3 linked regions of the Alligator mississippiensis genome follow. The protein of the gene in region 1 binds, or shares a complex with, the protein of each later gene. Links are inferred from orthologs where the notes say so. Each region holds a gene or a part of one and is shown in the gene's direction. Other genes may lie near its edges.

The links.
Region 2: SMU1 (region 1) and IK share a complex: the UniProt entries of both Homo sapiens proteins name them as parts of the spliceosome B complex. The link is inferred for Alligator mississippiensis from reciprocal best matches to the Homo sapiens genes SMU1 and IK.
Region 3: SMU1 (region 1) and ZMAT2 share a complex: the UniProt entries of both Homo sapiens proteins name them as parts of the spliceosome B complex. The link is inferred for Alligator mississippiensis from reciprocal best matches to the Homo sapiens genes SMU1 and ZMAT2.

Annotation. Positions count from the first base shown.
Region 1 is NC_081826.1:152,718,057-152,727,522, forward strand, and holds the start of SMU1 (WD40 repeat-containing protein SMU1), read left to right. Parts: upstream 1-5,594; 5' UTR 5,595-5,679; coding exon 5,680-5,705; intron 5,706-5,845; coding exon 5,846-6,056; intron 6,057-7,381; coding exon 7,382-7,534; intron 7,535-8,271; coding exon 8,272-8,382; intron 8,383-9,154; coding exon 9,155-9,283; intron 9,284-9,466. UniProt on the Homo sapiens protein: Involved in pre-mRNA splicing as a component of the spliceosome. Regulates alternative splicing of the HSPG2 pre-mRNA. Required for normal accumulation of IK.
Region 2 is NC_081832.1:42,569,805-42,579,869, reverse strand, and holds the start of IK (protein Red), read left to right. Parts: upstream 1-5,507; 5' UTR 5,508-5,599; coding exon 5,600-5,615; intron 5,616-6,315; coding exon 6,316-6,382; intron 6,383-6,940; coding exon 6,941-7,033; intron 7,034-7,350; coding exon 7,351-7,410; intron 7,411-8,447; coding exon 8,448-8,615; intron 8,616-8,700; coding exon 8,701-8,815; intron 8,816-10,065. Other genes in the region: TMCO6 (transmembrane and coiled-coil domain-containing protein 6), read left to right, coding at 158-325, 794-964; NDUFA2 (NADH dehydrogenase [ubiquinone] 1 alpha subcomplex subunit 2), read right to left, coding at 1,607-1,698, 3,111-3,217, 5,258-5,367. UniProt on the Homo sapiens protein: Involved in pre-mRNA splicing as a component of the spliceosome. Auxiliary spliceosomal protein that regulates selection of alternative splice sites in a small set of target pre-mRNA species. Required for normal mitotic cell cycle progression.
Region 3 is NC_081832.1:42,419,048-42,429,089, reverse strand, and holds the start of ZMAT2 (zinc finger matrin-type protein 2), read left to right. Parts: upstream 1-6,266; 5' UTR 6,267-6,351; coding exon 6,352-6,369; intron 6,370-10,042. Other genes in the region: histidine--tRNA ligase, cytoplasmic, read right to left, coding at 212-319, 1,125-1,250, 4,114-4,209, 4,559-4,678, 5,081-5,170, 5,955-6,038. UniProt on the Homo sapiens protein: Involved in pre-mRNA splicing as a component of the spliceosome.

The DNA of each region.
Region 1 (9,466 bases):
CGTAACCCTAGAGCAGATCTACAATGCTGATAAAACTGGCCTTTTTTGGCGTTGTTTGCCAACTTCTACCCTGGCTGGTGCAGGTGAGGTTGGTACAGCTGGTTTTAAGCAGAACAAGGACCGCCTGACTGTGCTTAAGCGTGCAAATGCAGCAGTCACACATAGAATCAAGCTGTTAGTGGTGGAAATTCAGGCAACCAAGAGCATTCAAAAGTGTTGTTCATCTACCTGTTGAGTACAAGGCACAACCTAATGCATGGATGGACAAGGAAATATTTTTGTATTGGTTTTACCAGGTCTTTATACCAGCAGTGAAAGAGGATCTGAAGAAACTTGGAAAGCCAGAAGACACAAAAGTTATTTTGATTTTAGATAACTGTCGAGCTCACCCTCCTGAAGCAGCGTTAGTGTCTGGAAATATGTTTACCATCTTCCTGCCTGCAAATGTCACCTCACTCATACAGCCTATGGATCAGGGAATTATTGAAAGTCTGAAATCCATCTACAGAAGGGATTTTATGAGGAAGCTACTCAACTATGAAGGCACTCTCCAAGAATTTCATTCGCAGTACACCATTAAGGATACAGTTTTCAATGTGGCATGTGCCTGGTCTGCTGTGAAGAGTGCAATTTTAAGAAGGGCTTGGAGAAAACTGTGGGCAGCAGTAATGGTTGCAGAGGGATTTTCTGATGAAAAAGAATTTGAAGGCTTCAATGCAACTCATAAACAAAAATTCACTAAGAGAGATTCTTGATATCCTTCAAAATGCTGAACCCACAAACCCACTCATTAACTTAAAGATACTGGACTTGAAGAGTGGATAAACATTAATCAAGACCTTGATGTTGCACAAACTCTTACTGATGCTGAAATTATAGAAAAAGTTGTGCATCCTGAGAGTTCTACTGCACCTGAACAAGACTCAGAAGAATACCGCAGTGAAGAAACTAAAGTGGCTTGGGCTACTGCTGCACAATGTCTTGAAACATTCTTGAAATTTGCTGAGCAACAGTCTTCTTATTCTGCTCAGGAAGTGATGCAATTTCATGTTGTGCCAACAATTTCCTGAAAAAAAGGCAACTGACTTGCAGGCAAGCAGACATCTGCAAGTTGCTTCAAAGAGTTTCTGCACCTTGTGTTAAGGAACCAGGCATTTCAACACCATCAACATCAACATCAGATATTACTGATGCTGATGATCCTCAAGAAGAGCCACACTCCGAAGCAGAGCCACATTCTGAAGCAACCTCAGATCCAAAGGTGCCTTCAGAAGCAGCTGAGGGGCAGTAAATGTACAGTATACTATTTACTATATTATTCCTTATATCATAGTTAAAAGATTAAAAGTTATTATATCATAGTTAAAATGTAGGCTTAGTTTCTTTCTTGAAAAGTGTTATGCACTTGGAAAATTTGGTGAACCATAAATATAACTCTCAGATAACCGGCATATTTGATTAACCGGTACCCCCAATTCCCCATGGATGCCGGATAACAGAGCTTTTACTATAAATAGACATATTGAGTTAAAACTGGAAACGGCCAGTGTTACATGTATCCGACCTAACTATAAACCTTTTATCACAATTTTAATTGAAGGGTGGGTAAAACAGTTTTCCAATATTGTAGAGGGTGAAAGATTGTCTAGAAATAAATGAGATACTGGGACTATTCTAGGTGGGATAGTTGCTGGCCTCAGTGTTATGAATACAGCAAATACTGAGGTAGTGATGAATAAACTAGCCCAGGCCACAAGGTAATTGAGAGAGATAAAAAGGCCTATTACATCATCCTTGTCCAAAATTGGAAAGCAGGCTGTGTTGAATGCAGAGGTGCTTCCAATATGGCATGAGGTGATTCAATTAGAGCAAAAGCAATTGAGAAATCGCAAAATGATACAGGATTGGCATTATCTTGTACCCAGGCACAGTCTTGGGTGCAGGCCATTATTAGTGGTATAATCTAACAAGGTCAATCCAGCATCAAAACTTAGAGCTAAACCAGTTAGTCTTAAAGGTAGCTACTCTGACCGAAATTCAAAGAGTGGTGAACGTTAACTTCCTTTGGACACCTTCCAAAGAGAAATGCAATAGTAGCAGATATACACACGATTGCTCAAGCCAAAACTAAACTCATTAATCCTCCCATCAACATTGAAAGAAGAATAAATGGATCATTATTCTTTCCTAGGATAGAAGCACAATGGGTAAATTATCAAAACGATAGTTCAGTAGAGCTAACTGATGTAAAACGTTGCCTTGCCCACCAAGGACTAAGATACATTTGTGAAGGCATGCATCAACCAATTAGGGATAATTGCAGAAATTCGGACAATTCTACTTTTACCAAGTGTCATTTTGATATAATTCGAGAAGGAAACTCTACAACTGCCATATATGTACTCAATCAACAGTGTATTTGTATAAGCACTTGGCGTACGGAAGTTATCTAGAATCATTGGAAAAAGGCGGTTGTGTTGTGGCAGAATCAAACTTTTTGTGCATGTCACGTTTCTCGTGTTTCTAGCTGTGATGTTAATGTTTCTATTCCTTATGTATATAATTGGACATTAAGTGTAAATGTTACCGTTTATGATAATATAGAGCCTGTTTGTATTGGAATTAATTTATTGGTATTAAGACAACTGATTTTACATAATGGGATTCAGAAAATATTAGAAAAGAATGTTAAAGAAGCTGAGAATATGTACGTAAAGGTTATCCATAGGAATCTGTACATATCTTAACCAGGTTGTTGACACTGCAAAGCACCAGTGGTGGGAAACGTTGGGGTGGAGCCCAATAGCATCTGGAGTAATAAATCTGGCCCTCCATCCAGTAATTGTGGTGATGATTGGACAATTGCGTTTGGGAATAATGAGTGTGATGACAATGATATGGATGTGCAGGGTGCGAAAGAAGTTAATGTACATATACAGAGTGATCAGGTTGACTTGATCCAAGTGCAGATTTGTTGATGTGTTGAAAGATGAGTTTTTGAGAAAATGGGATGGAAATTAGAGTGATTAATATGTATCAATGGAAAAGATGAATGAGGATGTAAAAAGTGTATATGATAATGTATGAAAAGAGTTAATGGCTTGGTATGATAAGCTGAATGTCTATAGAAGTTGAATTAATGTTGGAGTAATCATTTGTTTAGTAAAAAGTTCCTTGGAAAATGGAACAGAAGAAAGAAGAGATCACTGAGTAGACCCATGTGGAGACCTCTCCCCATTGTTCAATACAAGTGGTCACATCTGGTGTCCCACTTGACAGCATGGCATGGGGTTGCAATAATGATTAGGCATGGCGAATTTGTATGAACCCATGACCCAGCATCTCATGTTGATGTAGTGATACCTCAAACATTGTTACATCTATGTGAGTATCAAGGAGGGGACTGTTGCGGCCAAACTTAGGGTCTGGGCCTACATACAAGGTGACACTATGGTACCACAGCACAGATGGAAAGTGGGTCACCAAGTGAACTGTGAGTGACCTTGCCTCATGAAAGATGATGTAAGACCACTGAAAGAGGTGTCATGTGAAGCTTCTGGGGCCAAGTGCAGAGCCACCTAGGTAACGTGCGCACATAGCCTATAAAGGGGGTGTGTGGGCGGAGCTTAATTGTTTGTCTGAGGGGGGGTGTGGTTTGGTGTGGGACTGAGGTTGCGTATTTTTTGAGGAATACATGTGTGTCTGCAGGTGGATGTATGGCTGTGAGGTTTGGGGTCTGTGTGTGTCTGAGGATGCGTGCATAGTGTGGTCAAGGGAGCGAGATCGATTGAGGCCTGTGTTGGAGATCGACTAGAGTATGAGAGCACGGAGAGAGAGACTGAAGGAGAAGACAGGCACTCTGTGGAGGCTGTGTATACTCCAGAGGCTCGAAGGCCTCCGTGCGGTTGCTCCCCTCTGGATTTGCTTCTACACTAAAGTAAATAGAGTCGGCTCCCCAGACTTTTCCTCCCCGGGTGTATGTGTCTTTGACACAGAGCAGCTCTTTGCTTTATTAGTATTACCTCAATCCCTCTCCTCCTTCTTCTGTCCTTTTATTAGTTAAGCACCCTTGTTAAAAAGGCAGCAAGGTGGGAGGTAAGCCACCACGGACCTGTACTGGAGGATGGATGGCTGGTGACAGATCAGACGGCAGTGGAGATAAATAAAATTACTCTTGCTCCTCTGTAATAAATTCCACTCCTTTCTCCCTGCTATAGTTAACTGAAGTAGTTATTGGCTGTTCATTCATTAGTTGTGGTTAGTATTTAAGAATGTAAACCTGTGATTATCTGTTGATGTTTTTACTTGTTAAATGTTGTTAGTTGCTGTTGTTATTATAAACCGTGTTACTCATTTCAGTGCTAATTGAGTGTGTGTGGTAGTTAACTTAACTTCATCTAATTGCCTGGTAAATTGGGTAGTGATCGATATACCCAGGTTTAGCAGCTAATTGTCTCCGGGCCAAGAAACACCTCCCTTTATGTGAGTGGACAGTATAAGGCACAGCCCATTGAGCAACCTCATTTAATTAGGCACTTAAGTCCTTGCATAACAAAGGAATGCAGAACAGCTGGTCATATTTTAAAGACACTTTACTGGGGGTGCAGAAACGAACCATCCTGACACACAGGAAGATTAGTGAGTATGGCAGAAGACCTTCTTGGCTTAGCAGGGAACTCTTCAGTGAGCCAAAATAAAAAAAGGAAGCTTAGAAGAAGGGGAAACTTAGACAAACAACTAGGGAGGTATACAAGAGCAACCTTCAACTACCTTAACGGTGGTTTGAAAGAGAATGGGGCTAGACCAGATTTGCTGGTGGTCATTTGTATCACTTTAACTTGGTGGAGTACTATCTGTCAGGAGTTTGGGAACCGCTCAGCTAGACTGTTCTCAGTGGTGGTAGATGATAGAACAAGGAGCAACCATCTAAAGTTGCAGCAAGGGAAGTCCACTTAGTTATGCGGAAAAACAGTCTTTGGAGAAGGGCAGCAAAACGCTGGAACAGGCTACCCTGGTGGAGCCTCTACCCCAGGGGCAGGCAAACCTCCCCCCCCACGGGTGCCGAAGTGTGGCACCCAAAGATAGTTTGTTTGGCATGTATGCTTCCTGGGTGGATGGTAGGGAAGAAGCCAGGGCTGTATGGCCATAAGGATCAGGCCCTTTGTGGCTCCCACGTCATCTGCCCCGGCACGCCAACATCGTACAAGTTGAAGTTGTGGGTGTTCTTGACACTGCTCAAAACCGTTGCCGACCCTGCTTTAACCCTGACAGATCATTTTAAGCCCCGGCTAGAGGCAGCCTCGGCTGGAAGGACACAGCTAGAGCTAGCGTGGCTCTGAGCAGCGAGTAGGACTAGATACCCTCCTACAGTCCCTTCCAACTCTCATTTTCTACGGGCCCCAATGAACCGCATGAGCCACGACTAATACCCCGCGCCCACAGCACCACCTACGCCTCAGCGCCTAGCGCACTCGCCTCCCTGCTCCGGCGCGGCGCGTCGGCCTCGTAGCCCCGCCCACCCCCGACGTGGTCACGTGACAACGAGCAACCTGCGCCGCGGACCCTGGGGGGCGGGGGGTGCCGACGTGCGGCGGAAGCGGCCGTGCGTGGGGCGGAAGCGGCTGTTTCGGTGCGTCTGTGCGGGCCTGCGGCGGGGAACGTGGCTGCTGCTACTGCAAGATGTCCATCGAAATTGAGTCCTCGGAGTGAGTGCGCGCGGGGTGGCATGGGCAAGGGGACAGGCGGCGGCGGGCCCGTCTCGCCTCGGGGTGTCCCTGGGGTGGGGGAGTGGGGAGGGCGCCCGGCCCCGGCGGTGCTGAGCGGTGTGGGTGCTGTCCCCGCGCAGCGTGATCCGGCTGATCATGCAGTACCTGAAGGAGAACAGCCTGCACCGGGCACTGGCCACCCTGCAGGAGGAAACCACCGTGTCGCTCAACACCGTGGACAGCATCGAGAGCTTCGTGGCGGACATCAACAGCGGGCACTGGGACACGGTGCTGCAGGCCATCCAGTCCCTCAAGCTGCCCGACAAAACCCTCATTGACCTCTATGAGCAGGTGAGCCCCCCTGGCCCAGTCCCCTCTGACAGCCCAGTGGGAGCAGCATGATGAGCTCCCCACACCCGCCAAGAGGGCTTAAGCACCTGCCCCCCAGGGCTGGTGGCAGAAGCAGTGTTTCCTGCAAAGGACTCAGTTGCACTTCTTATTGTCTGAACTCTCCCCTGACCTCATGATGGCTGCCTGTGCTTCTGATGTCACTGTTGAGATCAGGAGCCACAAGCCAAGTTCAAGCACTGGCCATGTTTAACACGATTAAACAGTCCTGGAGAGCTAGTGTGGAAAATCGTACCCCTGAAGGGAGTTACAGTTCCACTCGAAATAAAAGTAGCAGCAGGTATCTCCAGAGCAGGGGCGTTGTGCTGCAGAGATTTTCTTGGTGCAGTTTTGTCAGTTGGGTTACAATGTTTGTGTAGTTCCCAACAAACCTCCAACAACTCTGCAACCTTCCCCTCCTCCTCCACATGTGGAGTCATAGCTATAACTAGTATTCTTCTTCCAACTCACTGCACTGACATGACAGCAATCATCTTTCCCCCCAAACACACAACATGGTGATGTACTCCCAGTAGCTTTCTATTGTTCTCTCTGTACTAGGGGTTGGCAACCTATGGGCTTGATCCAAGGAGCCTTTTGGCCCAGCCTGCAGACATGGGGCTTCAGCAGCTGTATTGACCCGTGGTTTTGGTCAGAGGTGGGTGGGTGCATGTTGGGCAGTGGCAGCACAGGAAAAGCACCTACCAAGTCCAGTTTTCCCTGCAGCAGCATGGGAAGAGTGTCAGCAGCTGCTGCTTTTACCTGTAGCAGAAAAGGGCTTTCCCTGCTACCACAGGGTTGAACATTGACTGTAAACACTCTCCATGTGCCGCCGTGGGAAAAACAGACCTTGGTAGGCACTTTCCTGGTGCCACTGCTGGGAAAAGTGATGACAGCAGCTGGTTCCTAATACCTGTCTTCTGCTCACCCACCCAAGGCTGACCTGATTTGAGTCAATCTGGCCCACAATCTGAAAAGGTCAGTCTGGCCCACTGTCCAACTCTGCCCTATATATTTCCCATTGTGATGCATCCCCAGACAGACAAAGCGGATACCAGCAAAAGGATTCTTTTGCATTTATAAACTAATGTGTTGTATCATTGGAATTAGGCCATATGAGTCTTTACAATGTAAACTAGTATATGAGCTAAATAATACATTCTTAGACTAATATGTGAAGAATGGCTTAGTTTGGAGTAGAAAATGTTATTGTGTAGTTTAACTGCAATCATTGGAATGGTGTTTCTTTATCTTCTGGATGCTAAAAGTGACTGTTTCCATCCTTTCAGGTTGTCCTTGAATTGATAGAGCTTCGTGAGCTGGGTGCTGCTAGATCCCTGCTGAGGCAAACTGACCCTATGATCATGTTAAAACAAACTCAGCCAGAGAGATATATTCACCTTGAAAACCTTCTGGCTAGGTCCTACTTTGATCCCCGCGAGGTATAGTTTTATTGATAAAAATACATCGTTATTGGGTTTTTTGTATACGTTAATTTATAGCTAGCATTTTTATGTAACATACCAACCAGTGAACGTTATATTCTTGTATTTGGAATGTTTTTTGTTGAGTTTTTTCCTGAATAAGTCATTCCTGAACCTAGACGTCTTTAACTGTAGTTTTAGAATTGTTCTTACTCTATTATGCTTCACTTTTGTTTCTTCAACTTTTTATAAAGCATTTAACAAATAAACTATATTTTTAATATTGTTTCATAACTGAGAGGAAATGTGGTCTTATAGTGAAAGTCCTAGGCTGGCATTTGAGTGACCTGGATTCAGCCAGTCCTCATCTCTGCCACAGGTTTTCTGTGCAACGTTGGCCAATTTATTTAACCTCCATGCCTGTAAAACTGCAGTGCTTTATAATTAAAGTTTTAGACTGCATATGTTAAGTTTACATTAAATCCCTTTATTCAGTTGTGGCCTCAGAATGATTTTTATCTGGGTTTCTTTCTTTGGTTTATCCCTGACCCCTCAAACTCTTGTGGTATGTTTTGGCCAAAATGCTAATGTGTAATATGCTATTAGTTAAAATATGTATGTCTGTGTATACATATACATACATACATCTCTGTCTTTCTCTTGAGATAGATAGATAGATAGATCTCTAGAGAGAGAGAGAGCTATAGCTATATATCTTCGAGGAAAGATTCTTTCATGTGTAATTCCTTTTTTAGGCATATCCAGATGGAAGCAGTAAAGAGAAACGAAGAGCTGCTATTGCTCAAGCTTTGGCTGGAGAAGTCAGTGTTGTACCTCCTTCTCGCCTTATGGCATTGCTGGGGCAGGTAACGCTTGAAAAAGATATTTTTACTTGCTATGCTAATTTTTCTAGATCTTTGTTATCTGAGAGTCTCAGTGGGATAAACCATTCCTGAACTTTGTTGCAGTAGAATCTCACTAATATCATATTTGCATGTGAATTACCATCTCTTGTCATCAAGGATTTCATCATAGTAAGGTGTAGGGTTGTGAAAGGTAAATTAGTTAACAGTAAGTATATTTATAGCAGTAATGCATTACAGTTACAGTTTAGCGCCAGATGCAGTCCAGTGGGGAAGGGAAGTGGTGTGATGCCCGAGGAAAGTGGCCAGGAAGGTACTGCCTCCACCTCCCTATACGTGTGCAAGCATATGATTGGGAGTGGGGACTAGTACACATTAAAGATAGTGTGAGCAGTCACAAAGAAGCCGTGCCTGTCTGTCAGCATGTGGCTCTGCCTGCCTTTCCCTGTGCAAGTGGATGCTGGGGATGAAGGGAGAGGGCTTCATGTGGGCTGTGGGGCTTGCTGTTGCCACCTTGTTCCCTCCCCCTGTGCTTCTGTAGCCAGTCCTGGGAAGCTGTACAACACAGCACCATACTGCACAACAAACCTACAAATGATTGCTTGTAAAAGAATCAAATGGTTGAACACAGTGTGTCCTTTTAGTTCAGAGATGTTTACAGGTTTTTAGGAAAATTTTTCTGTTTGAAAGAATTGTGAACAAAACCTCTTACAAGGATATGTCATTGCTTGAGCACATATGTTTCTAATTATATTTCCTTTTCCCTTCTTAAAAGGCACTGAAGTGGCAACAGCACCAGGGATTGCTTCCTCCAGGTATGACAATTGATTTATTCAGAGGTAAAGCAGCCGTGAAAGATGTAGAAGAGGAAAAGTTCCCCACACAGTTGAGCAGACATATTAAGGTAAAATGTTACATTTTTCCCAAGTGCTTGATATTACCTTAGATCAAGACTTCAGTTTTAACACACTATTTTCCAGGTCTTGCAACTGTTGAATATTGTTTCTCTGTAGAGTTTTCCATGCCTAATTTTGGCTATGAGGGGATTTTTGGAAGTTTGAAGAAAAAAACCTATAACAACGGGCCA
Region 2 (10,065 bases), on another chromosome or scaffold:
TGTGGGTTGCACACTACTCCTAGCAGCCTGCTAATTGGACAGCCTTGTTACAGATGGTTGTTTACAGCCAGCATAACCAGCCATAGTTACTTCAGTGTCACCTGGGTGGCAGTTGTGGAGTGGTGCAGCTTAGCATACTTATGTCATCTCTTTGTAGGTTTTAACAGTGTTGTGCAACATAGCTGAGAAGGGCTGCGCCTACTGCCAACAGCTACACCAGAAGGCTGTGCTTTCTTCGCTGATCAGTATCCTCACCCTCTCTGATGCTGAAGTGGCAGGCCAGTGCCTTGAGCTGCTGCATCTCCTCTTCCTGCATTGGCCAGAGGTACAGCTTGGTTGTCTTTCCTTGTGTTGTCCAAACAAATGTGTTGTTTAAAAAGCTTTAATGTGTTTAACTTCACCAAACACAGAACAATGAAGCAAAGAATGTCGTAGGGCAAGGTGCTGGTGACACCTGCTGACTTAAGCTCACCTGTACTGAAAATACAGTCCAGGGAAACTTCTGTTCTTTTGCCACCACCCAGAACCAGGAAAGTTCAAGTTCCATGGGTTTACCACAGCAATATGAGACAGTTAAACTACCTTGTCTAATCTGAGCATTGCACCTGGATATTGTTGTAGCGGGCATATTATAAATTCAACTAACCCTTAAACCTCATTCCCAAGAGCTGGTAGGATGAGTTGAGTTTTATTCAAGATCCAAGGCAGTACAGTTCACATAGGCTACACAGAAGCCTTTGGGACAGCTCCCAGTCTGGGCTAGCTCTTAATTTACTGTCCTCTTCTGGAACAGGCTGCTGCTGACTTTTTCACCCAAGCAGGACTGCAGGCCCTAGAACAGCATCAGCACCACCCAGAGCTTCAGGAACGAGTAAGAGCGCTCATGAACTTGGCTACCCAGCCAGCTGCAGCCTCACCCTGTTCCTTGGTTTCTTCAGCTGCTGTACCATCTTCTCTCCCCTAGAGGATACTGCCTCCACACTAGTTACTTTTCCTATTAATCACCCCACCAGTTTTGTATATTGATAAATATTTTGGAGTTTAATAAACCATTTTATTATGTCCTACTTTCATATTATGAGCCAAGTGCACTGGCTATTTTCTGATAAAGTATCAATCTGAAAACTTGAGTGATCTTACAGACAACTAGCTGGGAGATCAGTAAGTGGTACCTAGGTGAAGGGTATCATAACTAAGCATTATTGGCAAGGTTCATTGTATTCAAATTTGAGATTACCCAGCCTAGCACACTCACTACTAGAGGATAGCTTAGTATTAATGAGAAGCTTTCCCCTTATCCTTAAGTACCTCCTGCCTGCCACTACAGGAAGCTGTTCTGCTCAGGCAAGGACCAGAATAGTCTCAGTTGACCAGGAGGAAAAGGTCTCCTTCCTCAAACAGGTCATCACTGAATCACCACAGACTTAGTCCCTCTAGTAAGGGGCACAGATTACAAGATACCTTCCAGCACAGCATCTCTATTAAAAGCATGCATCTTACAATATGCTTTATATGCAGTGAATAAGTTACAATGACAGATAGAACATGTTCTTTGTTAGCCCGTTTGAGCAAAGGCTCCAGCACATGCAGGCTTAATTCTTTGTATTCATGCCTTGCTTTTAACAATGTTCTCCAGGGCCTGGGCAACTTGGTCCACATTCAGGTTGTTCAGGGGCACGCACTTTTCCCTGCCAAACTCTGGGGGGAAAAAGAGAGAATTAGCAACATCCAGAAGAACCAGTTCATTCTTTTCCCTCCCTAGCCTCAGTGTACAGTTTATTCTCTATTGCAGATCTGGAGTGTATTAGTTGGTCTCACAAATATGGCATGTCATAAAGCTTTTCCCCTTCCTTTTCTCAAGTTTTGGCCTCTCCACTTCCTAGCTGTAAATGGTCTTCCTCCTCCTCAGTGTTCACATAGTTCTGTCCTATTGTTTTGCTTACCTGCGTTCTGTACTGTTTGTCCCTTGAAAGAGACTATTCAGAAAGATAGCCTCACTTGCTAGCTCCATGAGCAAGGCTCCTAGTCTGTCAGAGGCACTGCTCTGCCAGGGGCAAAACAGCCATGTCTTATTTCATTCATCTCAAAATCCTGAGAAGTGCTTGAGGAAAAGCTGTCTGAAAGATTTTCTGGTGTGCCCCCTGCTGGTTGTATTGTAACTCTCCTGCTTGGTTCTTGCTGCACTACTTGCCTCCATAATTTGTTCCATATGCTAATTCTAAGGATGTTTAAGGATTTTTTCAGCAAAGAATAAGTAGTAGAAGAAAAAAAAAAAAGTGAAAAAACCCAGCAGAACACAGTACAAAGTAAGACTAAAGAGAACAAAAGAAAATAGTACAGAACATAACAAAACAAGACACATGCATCTGTTACAGGAATCTCAGCTTAGTAGACACCCATATCAGACAGAAATATTCAAAGGGAAAAATTAACTTCAATCAAAGACTTAAGCACACTGCACACTAATGCTAGCATTCAGAACTATTTGGACTTATCACCATCATGGTAAATTTAAATGTCTTAACTCCTTAACGATCTCATGAAGAATGTCTTGAATTTGAAAGCTTGTCTAAATTGAACTGGACCCACTGCCTGGTTGGAATAAACATATTTCCCCCCCCCCGCCAAATCCTTGCTTCACATCATTTCATAGTAGCTAGGGTCAGGAAGGACCTGAACAGATCATCTAGCCTGACCCCCTGCCACAGGCAGGAACGAATGCTGGGTTCACAAGACCCTAGACAGGTGATCATCCAACCACATAATTCCTAAACTATCGCAGCTGCAACATACTTTAACTCCTTAATCTCTCGTCCTTTTATAAATCAGGCTCTTGTTTTGATTTGCTGTCTTGCTTTCTTATTTCTCAAACTGAGTAGGCCCCACAGCCTCATCCTGAATCCATTCCCTTGTGTGCAATGTATATTGTCACCCTTCTCTGTATTAAAAGCAATCCACTTGATGAGTTTGTGGTTTAATACAGACACCAAGTGTATAGTGCCACAATTGCTCGTGTGAGCTTTTTCTGAAGGTAGTACATGAACCAAGAGGCTAACCTTCAAAACAAAAGGGCCATGATACTGATAGGGTGCTGCAGGCTCCCAACTCACCATATCGAGCCCAGAGTTTAGGCTTCACCTCTGAGCATTCCCGGATTAGGATGGGGAAATCTGGATTTGCTTTCTTCAGAGTCACATAATGCTGTTCAATGAAGTCTCTGCAAAAAGAGAACAAATTAAATCCCAATATCATTGCCAACCATAGCTACTGCGAGAGAGATTTAAAATATATTTAATTCTTAAGGCCTCAAAAGCTCCACATGCACTCAGTCCTTCTAAAGCAAACTCTGAAGCGTTCAGAGGGAGAGGCTGTCCTATTCCCCATAGAAGTTACAGTAATGAAAATATGTTCCTCAGCTCTGCTCCCTCTCACCTATATCAAAGTGCTCATCTGGTAGCATCAGGGCTGTGCAAGGTTTTGGAGGGTAGCAAAATAAATGCAAAAGGTTACAAGGGATCTCTTATCTCCTTTGTGTTCAGACAGACAAGTGTCATAACATCAATATCGTCCTTTCACCTCAGGCAGAGACAAGTGTCACCTATCACAGTACAGGAAGTTCCTCTGGCATGCACAGAGGGAGTCTAGCTGCAAGAGAGAAGTGCAGAGGAATATTTTTTATTAGTCTTCCTCCTGCTGGGGGAAGCTGTCAAAGGGAGCAGGCTCAAAACAACTGTTATCTCACTCCACTGCTTCAAGTCACACTGCCCAGGAGGGTCTCATACATCACTGACCACCATCATGGAACATTACAGGACACTGAGACCAGGCCACAGCATATAGACCGGTCTCTCAGCTAATTCATACCAAGCCTTATCACTTTTGCTAACTCTCTGTTAACATACCATTTTGTTATAGCTTATAGGAAACTTACAAGTTTATAGGCTTTAGGCATTAAAAAATGAAACAATAGAAAGCCCAGTCATTCTTAATGCTCAAACCCATTAGCTGAATTAGTGTCGCTAGAAACGATGCCCACTTTAATGGCAAGCCTAACAAAGCAAAGCAAGAGTCAACACATTCAGAATCTAAGGGCTGGGAATAGATGTTAGGATGACAGACAATTTGTGCAGTTGTACAGTAATTATGCTTTTGTCCCAGGAAAAAGCCTTCCCCCCACCCCAGGATCCAATCTCTCTGAACTATGCAGGATAAAGTGTGCCAACACTTTTTCCCCAGGACATGGCTGCATGCACCTGTAAGGTTACTCTGCTTTTTTGCCCACCCAGGACAAGCCAGCTAGGCTGTACATTCCTCTCTGGCAGAGCAGCAGCAGCAGCAACACAGCCTGAAAGGGCATCATGTAAATGATTGCACCACACCCGTTTTGATCCAGGTCAAACATCAGGACAAACAAGGCTAGTGTCAAATGAGAGATATCTATTTACATTAGATTACCCTATAATTCAGAAGGGCTGTGCTGAAGACACACACTGTCCAAACAGTCACTCCCGTAACATCCAATCAAACGAAACTGCAGCACAAGTAAGTATTATGGGGGCTTTTCAATTATAAAATGTACTCTGGCTCACTCTCAGCTAGTTCCAGGGAAAGAAACCCCATAAGCTCCCTAGAAGAGAATTCAAGTGAGTGTGTCTAGTCCCTGGGACCATACTACACACCAGGCTCTCACTATCACTTGTCCCAAAGGGAGTTCAGAAGAAACTACCTCATAAGTAGGTTTCTCCATACTCGTCACTTTAGAGTTCTTACATCTTTTTCTGCATAAGCCCACCTGCCCAGCCTGGCTCTCCCATATGCACTGCTGTCAGAGAATAAATATTAGAGTCAAATGAACACTGGCCTGACCTCACACAGCAATATCTAGGGGCCCAGCCTTGACTATGTGCTGGGGGAAGCAGGAGCTGGAGAAGCTGCCAGCAAAACGGACACCAGGGCACCCTGAAGGGCAGTGAGGGAAGCGTACAGTGACCACCCCAGGAAGGAAGCACATCCAGCAGGGTCCAAGAGAAACCATTTCCAGCAGCGGCTCAAGCACAACCCCCTTCCCCGCGGGGCTCTTTCACGCGGCCCCTGGTGGTCTCCCGCTGCCCGCCCCCGCGCCTCTGGCCGGAGCAGGGCCGCTCCTCCGCCTCGGGGTGCAGCGCCGAGCACGGCGGGGCCGCGACGCAGGAACAAGGAAGGGCCGTTCCGGGAGGAGTCCGTGCCCAGGGGCGTCACGGCGGGCCGGGGCCCTCACCTGGTGCCCTGGCTGCCTGGCGAGCGCTGGCACAGGTGGATCCGAATCTCCTTGAGGCTCCGGCCCAGGCTGCCCCCGATGCCCCGAACCGCTGCGGCTGCAGCTGCCATCTTCGCAGCACACCACCAACCAATCCCGTACCCCGCAAGTCTGGAAGACGCGCCGTGTCACAGGGGCTCCAGCCAATCGAGCCGCGCTTTGGGAACCTCCTTAGCCAATCCGAAAACAGCTACCCAGGATGCCCTAGAGCGCTGCATTGTGGGTAGTGGTGGGCGCGGTGCATGGTGGGAAGAGGTGACCCCAGCTCTCAGGTGTTGTGTTGTCGCAGCCGCGCGGGCCGAGATGCCGGAGCGGGACAGTGAGTGTCAGCGGTGGCGCGGGCACGTCCCCGTCCCCGCGGCCGAGGCGCTGCGGGCCCCCGGCTGGGAGCTTAGCCGCAGCGCGGCGGCCCCGACTCCGGCAGCGGCCTGCGCCTAGGGTGCGCGGGGCTCCGGGCCAGTGGCGGCGGCGGCTCTGGGTTTGCCACTAACCTGCCCTACGCGTACCGGGGGCCGTGACGTGTGTGTGTGTCTGTCTGTCTGTCTGTCTGTCTGTGTGTGCGTGCTCCCCCTGGGGACCCACCTTGGCAGCTGCACCACAGAGCAGCCCGACCCCCTCTCCCGCCTGATCTGCTGCTCTGCTGCTGCGCTGTTCACCCTAAAAGCAGCTTGTTTTCTGAAAACGACTGCAAATTATTCCTGAGCATTTTCATATGGACTTGAAGCTGCAAGAACATGGGGTCAGTGCAGGTTGCTGTTGGCTAGTGACTATCTGGAGTAAAACGAGTACCAGTTCTGTACGTTCTGTGTAGGGACTAGCTGCCACATGTACATGGAGCAGCACATACTTGTTTACTTTGGCCAACAAAAAGTGTTGCTATTCTCTGTTTGCTGTTGACTGAATTCCTATGTTATCGCTCTCTAGTTTGGTGTTTACAAACTTCCCCAGTAGGCGTAGGAGTGGGCTTGGGAGCACGGTGTTCAGGTTGAAAGGCTCAGTTCTGTGTTTCTTTCTCCTAGATGAGCCGTTCTCCAACCCTCTGGCCCCAGATGGCCATGATGTGGATGACTCCCACACCTTCAACCAGTGAGTATATGAGTTTTGGTGTCTTTCTCTTTGGAGGGAAAGTTTAGAATAATTTGTCCTGTGGAAAGGTAGGATTTTGAGAGTTTTATTGCTACAGAAAAAAAAATTAGCAACAGGTAATAGATTTCAAGATCAAAAGGGGAGACCTTTATGAACCTTTACTCTGACTTGCTGTATAGCATAGGCCAAAGAGTGCCAGTGATTATCACACCTAATACCTGTTAGCTGAATTGCAGTGTATGTTTAGGATCCAATTTTGGTCTAAGGACAACAAAGGAACGGAGTACCAACCTCATCCGTAGGCTCTTTTTCAGTGGTTGGTAGTCCTCTGTTAAAAACTTTTGTCGTATTTCCAATTTGAACTTGATTACGTGTGTAATCCAGTGCAGGCAGCTGTGCCATAATCTACTGGGAACGCAGTATTCAGATTGAGATGCTTCAGTTAATTATTGTCCTGTTTTCAGGTTCAGGGAAGGTAAAATTCATCAAGGAAAAAGAGTTATGATGTTGGAAAAAATAGTATGTTGTCACTACTGCAACAAGCTACATTTCTTCTAGGTCCAAGCTGACCAATGAAGACTTTCGAAAGCTTCTCATGACCCCGCGGGCTGCGCCAACATCTGCACCACCCTCCAAATCTCGTCACCATGAGTAAGTAGATTTGTGTACCCCTTTACTTTGCTCTTTGACCCAATATGAGCTCATTGGTCTTGGACAACTTATACATTCAGTTCCAGTTCTCATTTTAAAGATTTTCGGATTCTGTTTCTGCCTCCCTGTTAGTTCAGTTAAACTAGATATACACCTGGGCAGAAAGTCTAAAGGCCCTATTCTGAATGTATTTGGTTTCTGGGTATGTTGGTGCTAGCTCTGAGTTCCCTGTGTGGCTTGTTGCCTTTAGTTCCTCCTGCTCCTGTCTTGTGCACCTCTGCAGTTTGTGATGTGTATGTATGTTTTTGCCTCTCCAGGATGCCCCGGGAGTACAATGAAGATGAAGATCCAGCTGCTCGCAGAAGAAAGAAGAAAAGGTAAATTGGGAAAGCAATGTCTCAGGACCCCCCTGCGCCCATCAGCTATCCACTTCCCAAGCAGTGCATCAGAAAGTGACCCTTACTGGTCTGGAATATCAGTGGGTTGTGGAATGAAGGAAAAGGACCACTTGTATTAGAAGTATTTTTGATAGTGGTTGTAACCTTTCACAACCCCCATCATAGGAATTGAGGAGTGCAGTAGGATGGTATCAGAGATTGCGTAGATTGTCCCAAGAAGGATACTAGAAAAGAGGGAGCACCTGAGGTAGCTCCCCTCTTTGATGGTAATTAGGAAGCAAATAGGATATCTTGCCTGTTCAGCATTTCACTTCAAGTACTGCAGATGTCTCTACTGTGGCATGTGTACATGGGGCAGTGTAGAGTGGGTTCTTCAGTTACAGTTTTTCTACAGTATCTAACTAGATATCTGTCGCCTTCCACACTAGCTGTGTACCTAAATACATTAGGAGTAAGTATACAAAGAGAGTTAGGCAAGAAAGATGGTCTTTGTTTTCCACTGAGAAGTGATGACCTGAATGGAGCAGTCTGATGCAGGAAGGCTGTCCTGGATAACAGAAGCTGCTGAGACAGCTTTTGCACTTATAACAAAGCAAATATGAAAAGGGACAATCAAGGCCAGTCCCTGAAAAGCAGAGGAGTGGAGGGAGACCTTGTCTAGGGGAGACTGCAGCAGTTTGAGCAAGGTTTTATAAACATGTTTTGTTTGTTTATTTTTGTTTGTTTGTTTTCTGAATGGTGTTGGGGTAACAAGAGGAGCACAGTACAAGTGTTTGAGGATGGGGTGCTGTGGCCAAAGGCAGAGAGCAGTATTCCATGCTTATTGGAGCTTGGAGATCTGTGACCTTGGGGGAATAATGGAAAAAGAGTTGCAAGAAGCTAAAAGCCTGGCTGAAGATTTGAATAAACGATGGGGGGTGACATGCAGTGCTGTATGAATGGCTGTTGGCAACATTAGCCAGCATCTCGCAAGTATAACCCAATAGCTCAACGACCTAACCCTTTTCCCACCCTAGCTATTATGCAAAGCTGCGTCAACAAGAGATTGAACGAGAGAGGGAGTTGGCTGAGAAATACAGGGATCGAGCAAAGGAGAGAAGAGATGGTGTTAACAAAGACTATGAAGAAACTGAACTGATTAGTACAACTGCCAACTACAGGGCAGTGGGACCCACTGCAGAAGCGTAAGTGAGCTTGTGTCCATTCATTGCCCATCAAGGTGTAGCCTAGAGTTGGTCATACACAATGTGCTCCCTTTTTATTGCATAGGGATAAATCAGCTGCAGAGAAGAGAAGACAGTTGATCCAGGAGTCCAAGTTCTTGGGTGGTGACATGGAGCACACTCACTTGGTGAAAGGTCTGGATTTTGCGTTGCTGCAGAAGGTAAGCACAGATAATACAGCAATAGGGCTTTCTATTAGAGGTGCACTGATGCATCAGTCCGATATTGGATTGCAATGATATAAAGAAAATTGACTGTACTGGAAATTAGCCGATAAATGCCCTGTGCATGCATGCAGCCACAGCACAGCATGTAGGTGGTGAGGAGCACAGCCTGGCAGCTTAGAGAGCTGCATCCAGCTTGTAAGTCTGTTGTGGTAGAAGGGGAGGGGCGCAGATCAAGGTCCCCCATGGTGAGAGAAGGGGTGGGGCAGGCACAGCCCAGCTGGGATGAGGCAGAGCACAGGATGGAGCTGTGGCTTGTCCAGCGGGCGTGGGGAGGGGCTACAGCTTCCATGGCTGTGCGCACCCCAGGAGGGCACGGGGGAGTGGGGGGGGAGGCGTGTGCCCCCAGATCTGCTCAGGGTGGGGCAGGGCAGACTGCCGCTGTGGGCTAGGGCCAGGGCTGGGCCAGGCTGCACTTGGAGCAGGCAGTGGCAGTGCTGGGAGGGGGTCTACATGGGGGGTCTACATGGGGGGCTGCAGCCACCCCAAAATTTGCTCTAGCTCCTCCCATAGCCCCCTTCCCAGCACTGCCACCGCCCACCCCAAGTGCAGCCCCAGCTCTCCCCTTCCCACGCACCAGGAAGAGCCTGGTGCAGCCCTGACCCCAGCCCGCAGTGACATCCTGCTCCACCCTGCACTGCACAGATCTGGGGGCACATGCCTTCCCCCCATGCCCTCTTGGGGTGTGTGCAGCCTTGGGAGCTACCCCCCTCTCCCCACACCCTCTGGAAGAGCTGTGGCTCCGTCCTGCGCTCCGCTACTCCCCAGCTGGGCTTTGCCTGCCCCAATCCCACTCCCTCCCTCACCGTGGGGGCCTTGATCTGCTCCCCCATGCCTCTTCCCTTCCCCCTCCCCTTCCACCACAACAGACTTACCAGCTGGATGCAGCTCTCCAAGCTGCCTACATGCTGTGCTGTGGCTGCACTCATGTACAGGGTACTCTGCCCCAACTCAAGCCCTCAGTGGCATCCCACCCCACCCTGTGCAGATTTGGGGGCACATGCCCCCCTTCCCTCCCCCCCCCATGCGCTCCCAGGGTGCGTGCAGTGTGGGAGGCGCCCCCCCAGATGAGCCGCAGCTCTGTCCTGCGTCTGTTCTGCCCTGGCTGGGCAGTGCCTACTCCTGCCCCAGCCCTCTTCCACCCCCCCCTCACTGCAGAGCCACATCATTTCCCCCCCCCGGCGCAC
Region 3 (10,042 bases), on another chromosome or scaffold:
AGTTACTCTCAATAGGAATTTTGTGGAGAATCCCCAGGAAGTTGCAGCTAGTCCAGCTCAACTTCTCAAGCTGGTTATTGGATTCTCCTCACCATTCCTTCATAGGCCCTGTTTTTTCTAGGGCACAGTGCCGAAGGTGATGAATGGTTCTGCAGGTACATTCTGGCCTGGGCAGGACCAGACATACAAAAGCAACCCAGCTCTTCTTTACCTTAATGAGAAAATTGCCAAGTTGGAGGGCAGACAGGATCTCATGTATGATCTTCAGACACTCAGCATCAGGAATCATGGGGTCACACTGGCCAGCAATGTCAAAATCCTGAAGTGGGGAAAAGCAGTGAGAATCCAGGTACTACTACCCAGCTAGGACATCCCCGATGTAATCTGCCCATCCCACACTTGGGAGATCAAGCCTTCAGTGCAGAGGCCTCAGCTCCAAGTTCTCTCACTCAGCCTGTTACATAACTGGTTTATGGGGGAGTTAAAAAAAAAGCCTAGAAAAATTTGAAAAAACACCCTAGTACATACTATCTGGAATCAAGGCTCTAGAAGGACCACAAAGACTGCAAATTTTCTAAGTACTGTCAGGAAAACCAACACAGTCCAGCCAAACTTCTCTCTCTATACAAGGCCAATGCCCAATGCTTTAAAAAAAAAATCTCCTTCCCAAAACAAACAAACAAAAAAACAACCCAAAAGCCAAATAATGTATTCACAGGGAGGAAAAAAAAAGTCCTCTTGGCTTCTACAAGGAATCAGGAGAAACTGACACAATGGATAACCACATACTTCCCACTGAGATAAGCTTCCAATAGAAAATTAAGAAATTTCTAATGGTAGCCACTGGAATGGGTGTAAACCAACAATAACCTGACATACACCTCCAACCAGGCTTAACTGTTTAACATTGTAACAATAAAACAAGGGTTTCATTAACATGTCCTTTTACTGCCTGACATTTTAACATAACATACCCAGACATAAATGGAGCTCTCTTCCTCCCTTCTCTCCCCTGCACTTCATTGAAGGATTAGGAACCCAGATTCACACACAGCCCCTCATTCCTAGATTACTGTAGCAAAGACTGGCTCAAACACCCTGCTCCTCCAGCCATGGCTACTCACACACTGGTAGAACTCCCTGTAGCGGCCCCTCGTCATGACTGGGTTATCCCTCCTGTAAACTTTAGCAATGTGGTAGCGTTTAATGTTGGTGATTTTGTTCATGGCCAAATAACGAGCAAAGGGCACCTGAGAACAAAGGGTTAAGGATGGAAACTGGAGAGCATCTCCCAAGGCCTGCAGCCACCCAGACTTATCGCTTTGTAGGCAACCACCAAGCCAATACAACACAACTTTACAGCAAGTCTCAGGCTAATGTAAAGTACTGCAAAATATTCTTCCGGGCAGGGAAATCAGGGCTTGTGTGACCACTTTCCAATTAATCTCACTAACAATAATGCTGAGAAAACACAGCTCCTCTGCTGGGTCTTTGTGGCTTTTGATGATTTAGTTCCGATACAAACTAGATTAAATAGATAATTGGATGGAATATACTAAGGGTAGACACCTCATGGAATAAAAATACCTTGTTGTGCAATTTGAACAGAGATGGAGAATCAGAGACAGAGGTCCTACATGGAGGACCTATTTAGTACCAGTAAGAAAGACAATGGCTCTTCTAAGAATAGGAAGTTGAATGGAGGGAAAGGAAGGAAGCTAGGGTCAGATGAGTGCAGGGAAGGGGGTCAAGAGAGTAGGAAGAGACAAGGAACAATGTTTATAGGGAATGCTGGAGCAAGCATACAGCTTCTATGAAAAAAAGTGAATTTTGGCTTAGATCTTGAATCAACTGGGGAGCTGCTTTTGAGGCATAGAGTATTCTAAGCACCACTTCTCTCACCCCATTCTCATTAAAATATTAGGCAACTGTGGTGTCGATGCCTACAGTCATATGGGTTGCAAATTGGTTGGAGGGCTGCACCCACAGAGTGGTGGTGGACAGGTCATTTTCGACCTGGAGCGATGTGGCCAGTGGGGTTCCCCAGGGCTCAGTCCTCGAGCCCGCACTGTTCAACATTTTCATCAGCGACTTGGACGAGGGGGTGAAAAACGGATGACACTAAGATGTGGGGAGAAGTGGGCAGGCTAGAGGAGAGGGACAGGCTGCAACTAGATCTCGACAGGTTACAGGGGTGCATGGATGAGAACAGGATGGGTTTCAATACTGACAAGTACAAGGTATTGCACGTGGGGAGGAAGAACCAGCAGCATACCTACAGGCTGGAAAACTCCCTTCTTGTCAGCACAGAGGCAGAAAAGGATCTTGGAGTCATTACTGATTCCAAGATGAATATGGGCCACCAATGTGAGGATGCGGTCAGGAAGGCTGACTGCACCTTGTCATGCATCCACAGATTCATCACGAGCAGATCCAAGGAGGTGATCCTCCTTCTCTATGCGATACTTGTCAGGCCACAGTTGGGAGTACTGTGTCCAGTTCTGGGCAATGCACTTCAGGAGAGATGTGGCCAGCATTGAGAGGGTCCAGAGGAGGGCCACTTGCGTGATCAGGGGGCAGCAAGGCAGGCCCTACGAGGGGAGGCTACGGGACCTGAACCTGTTCAGCCTCCACAAGAGGAGGCTGAGGGGGGATCTGGTGGCAGTGTATAAACTGGCCAAGGGGGACCAGCAGGCAACGGGAGAGTCCCTGTTCCCCCGAGCACTACTGGGAGTAACAAGGAATAATGCCCATAAGTTGACCGAGAGTAGATTCAGGCTAGATATCAGGAGGCACTACTTCACAGTCAGGGCAGCTAGGATCTGGAACCAACTTCCAAGGGAAGTGGTGTTCGCTCCTACCCTGGGGGTCTTCTAAAGGAGGCTAGATAATCACCTAGCCGGGGTCATTTGACCCCAGCACTCTTTCCTGCCCATGTCAGGGGGGTCGGACTTGATGTTCTGCTCAGGTCCCTTCGGACTCTACCAACTATGAAACTTCCCTGCAGATGATTTTGAATAGTGCTACCCCAAAAGGTTTTTAGTAAATGTAAGCTAATTGCTCACAGAATGTGGATGTTAGTGAAAACAAGGAATGGATAAAGGGACGATGCATATTTTAAACATAATTGATGCATATAAATAGACTTAAAATGCATATGAACATAATTAGTTGACATGTAGTATAAGTAATGAGAATAAAAAAAGAGTCAAAAAAGTTTTTTATTAAATGGTATTGTTAAAAAAAAGATATTTGTGATCAGATCTTGTATTTGAAGTGCATTCCAGCACCATGCCAGAGTACACTTTTACTATTGTTTGAGCCATCTGAGTAACCGTGTTTCACTAAAGTGAAACTTTGCTTTCATGACTTATTGTTCTTTGATTTTACAGTAACCATATAGCAGCTTTTAGTGCAAGTTAGAAAATGCTTATTAGACAAATCTCATTGTTTTTTAAGGATTAGTGCTGTTTTTTAAAACTAAGGATTGGCAACCTATGGCTTGTGAAGTGTGATGCAGAGGTCCAATCCAGTACAGTGGATTGGTCTCTCAGAGCTGTGCTGCGCTGCCTCTCGACTTTGCAGTACTCCCCTCAGCTGCAGAACTTGCTGCTCTACAACATTTGAGCTTACTTTGCTGCAGAGGGGCAGAGACTGGGCAATGCTTGTAAGCACTGTCTTGCCCTAGTAAAAGCCTGACAACCCCTGGTCATAAGTCTTTCAGTATCTAAAAAATAAAACTTTTCCTCTGAGCCAAGTCTGGCCAGACACAGTATGATAATTAGGTGTTTATACTTCCATTAAGAATACAAGGAAAATTATGGAGTGGGGCAATAGTGGGGATTGTGCACTTGCCAGAGTGTTAAAGGCTGGGGGCTTGAACTAGTCAGAGACAGGAACTGCAGGAGCACAGATGAAAGGAGACGGTCAGGACAAGGACAAGGTGTGACTGTATACAAAGGTGAAGATGACAAATGCAAGCTCCTTTCTAACTTGCAAAGCAGTATGTAATCATCCTCCTGCCCCGTTTTCCACCCTCCACCAGTGCCTAAAACACCTGCAACTCCCCCCCTGAAATGGTTCTCTCTCACAGTAGAGACTCTGGCAGGATACAGTGAGGTCATAGCGAAGGGAAAGCAGCTCACCCCCCTGATCTTTCAGATCATAAATGAGCTTCGAGTCCTCTCCATACTTCCCAGTCAGAGTTTCCTAGAGAAAAAAAGACAATTGTCTGGTAAGAGAGCCAAGGCCCAGGAGCAGAATCCAGCAGCAAGCTGTTCCCAGAAGCAGAGAATCCCTTGAGCCTGACTTTCCGAGGTCAGATCCAAGCCCTCTCCAGTTTTACTATAGAATGAGTTTTCTTTCCTTGGGCACTACTTATAACTGAGGCATTAGTCAAGGCACCTGTCCCTAAAGTTACAATTAATTCAGCTGCTACCCCTTAATGCACCAAAAATTAAATGGAAACAAAACTACAGAGCCAAGGATCCCACCTAACTTGCATCAGTGATTCACAGTCAAATCCTCCCAGATGTTAACTTGCCATCCCTGCACTCACTGTCAGCTCAAACACAGGGGTGTCAATGACCTCAGCCCCATGACGCTTGAAACAGTTGATGATGGTGCTGAAGACTTTCTCCCGGATGGCCATCTGCTTTGGGCTGAAGTCCTGGGTGCCCTGAGAACCAAACCCAACAAGAAATGGGTGAAGAAGTGTTAAGAAATTGAAGTATCCTAATGTCATAGATTAGCCAACATCCATGCAGCTGCCAGCTGTGGTGGCTATTCAAAACAGTAACAAAAAGTTCATGACAAGGAACAACTAGGCCTTAAAATTGATGATTCTTTGGTGTAAGAGTCAACCACAAAGAAGGAACAGAATGAGAGAAGAGCTTTAAGGCTGAGACACTGGAGCTGAGGATACCCTGCAAGAAACCGCACAATGTAGGTCTAAAAAGGGAAGATCTCTTCCAATGGTGGAAGCACCAATCCAAGTGCAATCAAAGGAAATGAGATAGGATTATTAGGAAAGGAGGCAACTTGGGACAGACCCAGCCCTGTGAAGGAGACAAGCCATTACCTTGGGGGTTTTAAGAATGAAGTTCTTTTTCCCTTCTTCAGTTTCCAGCTGTGCCTTTGTCTGCAGGAGCTTTCCCACAGTTTCTACTATCTGGGAACAGAGACAAGGCTGGTGATAAAAAAGAGCCTGATTCTGACCTACAAGAGCCAGCTGTCACAGCATGGAGAGATGGTAAGATGACAACTCAGCTGGCAGACTGTAGTAAGTTTCCTTACTATTAGAAGCTCCACTGAAATTCAGGTCCTGGCTTTATTAGGTTCTCTCACATGTAGGGTCTTAAATACTATTAAGGCTCCAACATAGTCCTTGCAGCTCAGCTCAGCATAGCACACAAGAATCAGGGAGCAGTTACTATATAACAATTCCATAATAAGGGAGTGTCTTTACTTTGTCTTTTTTGATAGACTAGAAAGTCCCTAAACCAGACCTAGCATTTTCTAACTAGCCAAAATAAATGCCATTAGCATTGTTTGGATTATTGGTGCCCAACCTTTTGGCCCTGTGAGCTGGATGAGCAGTGTGGGGCCAGTCCACAGACAGGGAGGGGAAGGGGATGGATCCAGCCACTAGGTCAAGCCCTACACATCTGGCGCCAGCCTTGAACACAGGCGCTATATAGCACACAGGGGTATTCCATCCAGCTTGCGGACCTCCCCCTGGTCCCGAAATTTGGCAGGAGGGAAGCAACCAGTAACTGTGTCACCACTTCCCTGCCGCCAAATTTCCAGACCTGTGGGGGCCCCGCGGGGCGGATGATACAGGCCTGACGGTGGATGTAGCTCGAGGCCCTGCGCTGTGCTGAAAGCTACCCAGGATTGACGATCCCTGCTCTCGGCCGACATCGCCCTTCAATTGGCAGACCCTCAGCACTCACCCGGTCCCGGGGACGAGCGGAGAAGGCGCGCAGGGCGCGAGGCGGCCCCCAGGCCCGCGCAGCCGCACGGCGGAGCCCGCTCATAGCTCCGCTCGGCCGGGCCCGCGCCGCTCACAGGGGGCTCGGGCCGGGCGGGGCCGCTCACAGCCTGCGGGGACACGAGGCGGCGCGCGGAGCATCACCTCCCGGCCCGGCCCGGCCCGGCCCAGGCTCCCGGGCACCACCGCCTCGCGCCCCTAGCGCAAGCCGCCTCCTCAGCTACACTGGAAACCCAGTCCTGGGCTTGGAGCAGCCACTTCCGCCACCGTCACTTCCGTCACGGAAGCCGACGCCGCGCGTGGCCGGGCTACTCGCCGGCCCTGGAGGACTTCCGCCTCCTTGTTCCCTCGCGGTGGAGATGGCGTCGGGCAGCGGGGTAGGCGGCGCGGGGCGGGCGGGGGCGTCCCGGCTCCTTCTCTCGGGAGGGAAACGCCGCCGCCCCGAGGAGCTGCCTCCGGCCCCGGAAAGGAGTGGGGCGGGCGTCCTGCGCGCATCGCCCGCGCGGTCCGGCCCGGCTCCGGCCGCGCTTTGCTGCTGCTGCCTGCCCGGGAGTGCGGCACAGCCGTGCGCCCCCCCGGAGCCGTGTTCCCGCCTTGCTTTGTCCTCAGTGGCGCCCCGCGCTGTCCCCCGCCCCCGCCCGCGGTTCGCTGCGAGGCGTCGTTTAGGCGTTAGGGCTGCACCTGGGTTTCTCCCGTCCTGTCCCGCGCAGCCGCCGGGCGAGGTCGGCTCCTGCAGGCCTCCGCTGTTGGGATAGGTGCCCCCAGTGGTGCCTGACCTTTCTGCCTCCGTGTCCCAGATCCGGTTGGTGGGTCCAATCTGATCATGCCACTCGGGACTTGGAAATCTGTGGGTGGGGGAAGCAGGAGCAGCTTAATTGCCACTGCTCCCTGCTGTCACATCTCCCAGCCCACCAGGCTGGATTTGGCCCAGAGGCCAAGGGAGAGCACCCTGAATTATACTCTCCACTGATTCTGGATGGCCCGTGGCTGGCGGCTGCCATGGCAGGGTGCAGACTGGGTCGGGATCTGCCTAGGAAATCGGCGGTAACCAGAGAGCCCCAGCAGTGTGGGCACCCTGAGGGAATTGTGCTAAATAGTCCAGTTCCAAAGTGTCCCTCCAGCACACTGGTTTAACACTTGCACAGGAGGGCTTGGCTGGTAAAGATAAATCAGGCATGTTGCTGTCTTGATCATAGGTGTAGAAAAAGGTATCCCCAGTGCATGCAGTAGGTAGGTAGAGTGGGGAAGGGACTCTACTATATTCTGTGAAAGAGCTGTAGGTCAGTGGTTGAAGAGCCACTTGTGGCTCAGGAGCTATGGTCTGATTCTTTCTGCTCTAATGGCTTCTTTACAGCCTAACAAGTTCTGCAGAAGGTTTTCCAATGCTCTTATAACTGCTTTGAAATTCCTTGAAACTGCTTTTATGTAACTTAAGACGTGTGAATTTCTGCTTTGTTTTTCTCTATTAAAACTGTAGTTGTCCCAGAGCTCTTGCTAATGGATCATATTCTGACATTTATCCATGTTGACATGGAAGGCCTATATGTTGCAATACATTTCCAGTACAACATGTTTAAATTGTTCTGTCTGTGTGTATAGAGTTCATCAGTTATCAGCCATTACTGTGAGCCAAAGGCTTTAGAATTATAGTTGATATGTTCACGTTCAATAGTGTGGTGGTGAGGGAGAAAACTAAGAAGAGAGAGAGACAAATCTGAGGTTACTTTTACCTTCCTTCAGTTAGACCCTACAGAAAAATACTTATGGAGAATCAAAATTCTTCTTATATGAGGAGTTTTGAAACATTCTGCTACCTTCTGCTGTAAACCTAGGGAAACTTGCTCCTGAGTCACAAGTAGGAAAGGAGGGACATCTTCACAGAAAATGTACTGGCAGGAGGAAAAATATATATTCAAGTGGGATGCAAGACCTTATATCTGTCAGAAAGATTTGGTGACCTCATCCCCAAACCCACCAAGAGACAAACATTAATGTCCCCAACTTTCTGTGGCCCTTTCTGACTCCTCTCTTCCCTTCCTCTAAACAAAACTTCATACAGAGGTAAGATGGGGAATTTCTCTACAAATTCCAAAGAAATTCTCTGACTCAGAACTAGATGGGGGTTGAGACATATCTCTATTAGGAGCTGCTTGAGGAACATTGCTGTTGTCTCCCCTTGTTCCTGAGCTGCAAGAGGAGTGACTGTGTACAGATGACTCTGGTACTATTGTTATACTGTATGGAGATCTTGAGTGCCCATTGCTCATCTGCTTCTGAGTTAAGAAACCTCATTCCCCTTGATCGTATTCTTTTTGGCTTGCTACTGCCACTAGACTTAGCCCAGGATGCTGTGTAAGCTGCCAAATCCATCCTGTGTCATTGTGAGACTATTCTGCCTGAAAAACCTTTCAGAATGTAGTGTTGAAGTCGAATGAAGAGAGCATGGGATTTAGAAGGGTAAGGCTTCTGGCATTTGTTATAACTGCTTGCCAATTCTAGACCACGTTAACAATCTATAGTAGTACCAAAAAGCCAGCTGTCAGCACCACAGGGACTTGTATATATGTTGTTTCTGCTTTGGCAAATATTTCCATTGTTTGGAGTCAGAGCATGAAAAGTGAGCAGAAAAAAGAATGTTTGAGTGGTTGTGTGGTCTGTCAGCACAGGAGGCCAAATTGGGGCACTGACTTTTGTTCCTGGCTGTAGGGTGTCATGTCCATTTGTCAGAGCAGAAGCCTTGACTTGGGACTCCTGAGTTCTGTTCTGAGCATTGTAGTTGTGTTGCTACATGACATTGAACAAGTCTCTTCAGTTTGTGCCCTGCAATGATTATGAGGCTTTTGTGTACTCCTTTTAGTTCCTATCTGATGTCCTCTATTGGGAGAATATTATTTGTAACCCCTGAGCAGTTATTAGATAAAGATTTAGGGGTTTCCAGCAACCCCTGTCCCCTTTTTGATCAATCTGAAAAAGTTATTTTAGAATTGCTAGCGATGGCCTTTTAACAGCTAGATCAGAAGTTGGGTTTGATTTATTTCACTGTGTTTGGCCTAGGGACACTGGTAAAAGATCTTCAAAAGACAGTATCCTTTTTATTATAAAAAGAGAGTGAGGCAGCAAGTAAATTGCCTTCTCTCCAGGCTCCAACCAACTTTGATTTGTGATAATACTGTTTCTATGTAGGAGAATATAGAGTCTGGAAAATACCCCAAAACATTAATTTACACTTTGTGAATCTCCTTTTCTTCTTGCTTGGGGAAGCTAATAAGAAAATTCTTTGTTATAACATGCTTAAAATGCTTTAGAAGCTCTGGGAATAAATGGTAAGTTTGCTACCTGTCTCCCAGGCATTCTTATTCTCATCAGTAGCTATTCTTTATGTTGGAAGGATTGCCAGGAGGTGGAGATTTTGAATGATTGCACTGCTGCTGTAGTCTTAAATGAAGTTTTTTATTTTCTTTGGAGCTTGACTGGATTCTTGGTTTGATTAACCAAGGGGGGAGGATACATTTTACTCCAGCACATGCTATCTATCCCCTTTCCCCCCAGACATGAGCAAAGAGATTTCCACAGGAAGACTTTCCTTTTTATCAATTTTCAAAAATTAAAAACATGAAGAGGATTTTAAATATTGATACTTCTGTTACTGTTAAATAAAATTAAGAGAAGTCTGTTTTATTCTAACCACTCATATATATATTTAAATGTCTTTAAAGTGGGTTTCTGTGCAAAAAGTCTGCACCAGAAATGTTTCCTTTTTTCTTGCTGCTTTTTCTTTCTGAAAGTCAGGAAAGGAGAGTTAGTCGTGGACTAGCTGACTGTGAATCTTGTGCAATTGGTCATCTGAGATCTCAATGTCTTGGCTTTACAATAAGAGGGACATGAAAATATCTGACTAGAGAAAATGGAGGGTTTTTTTTAAAGTTTATTTTGTGTACGTCTTGCCTAGTGTATAGAGGTTTTATCAGTATTAGGTTGGATACTTGGATCTAATAACTGACTTGTTGCTTTGTTTCTTTTATTTCCTAGCCATGCCTATAAAAGCTCTTT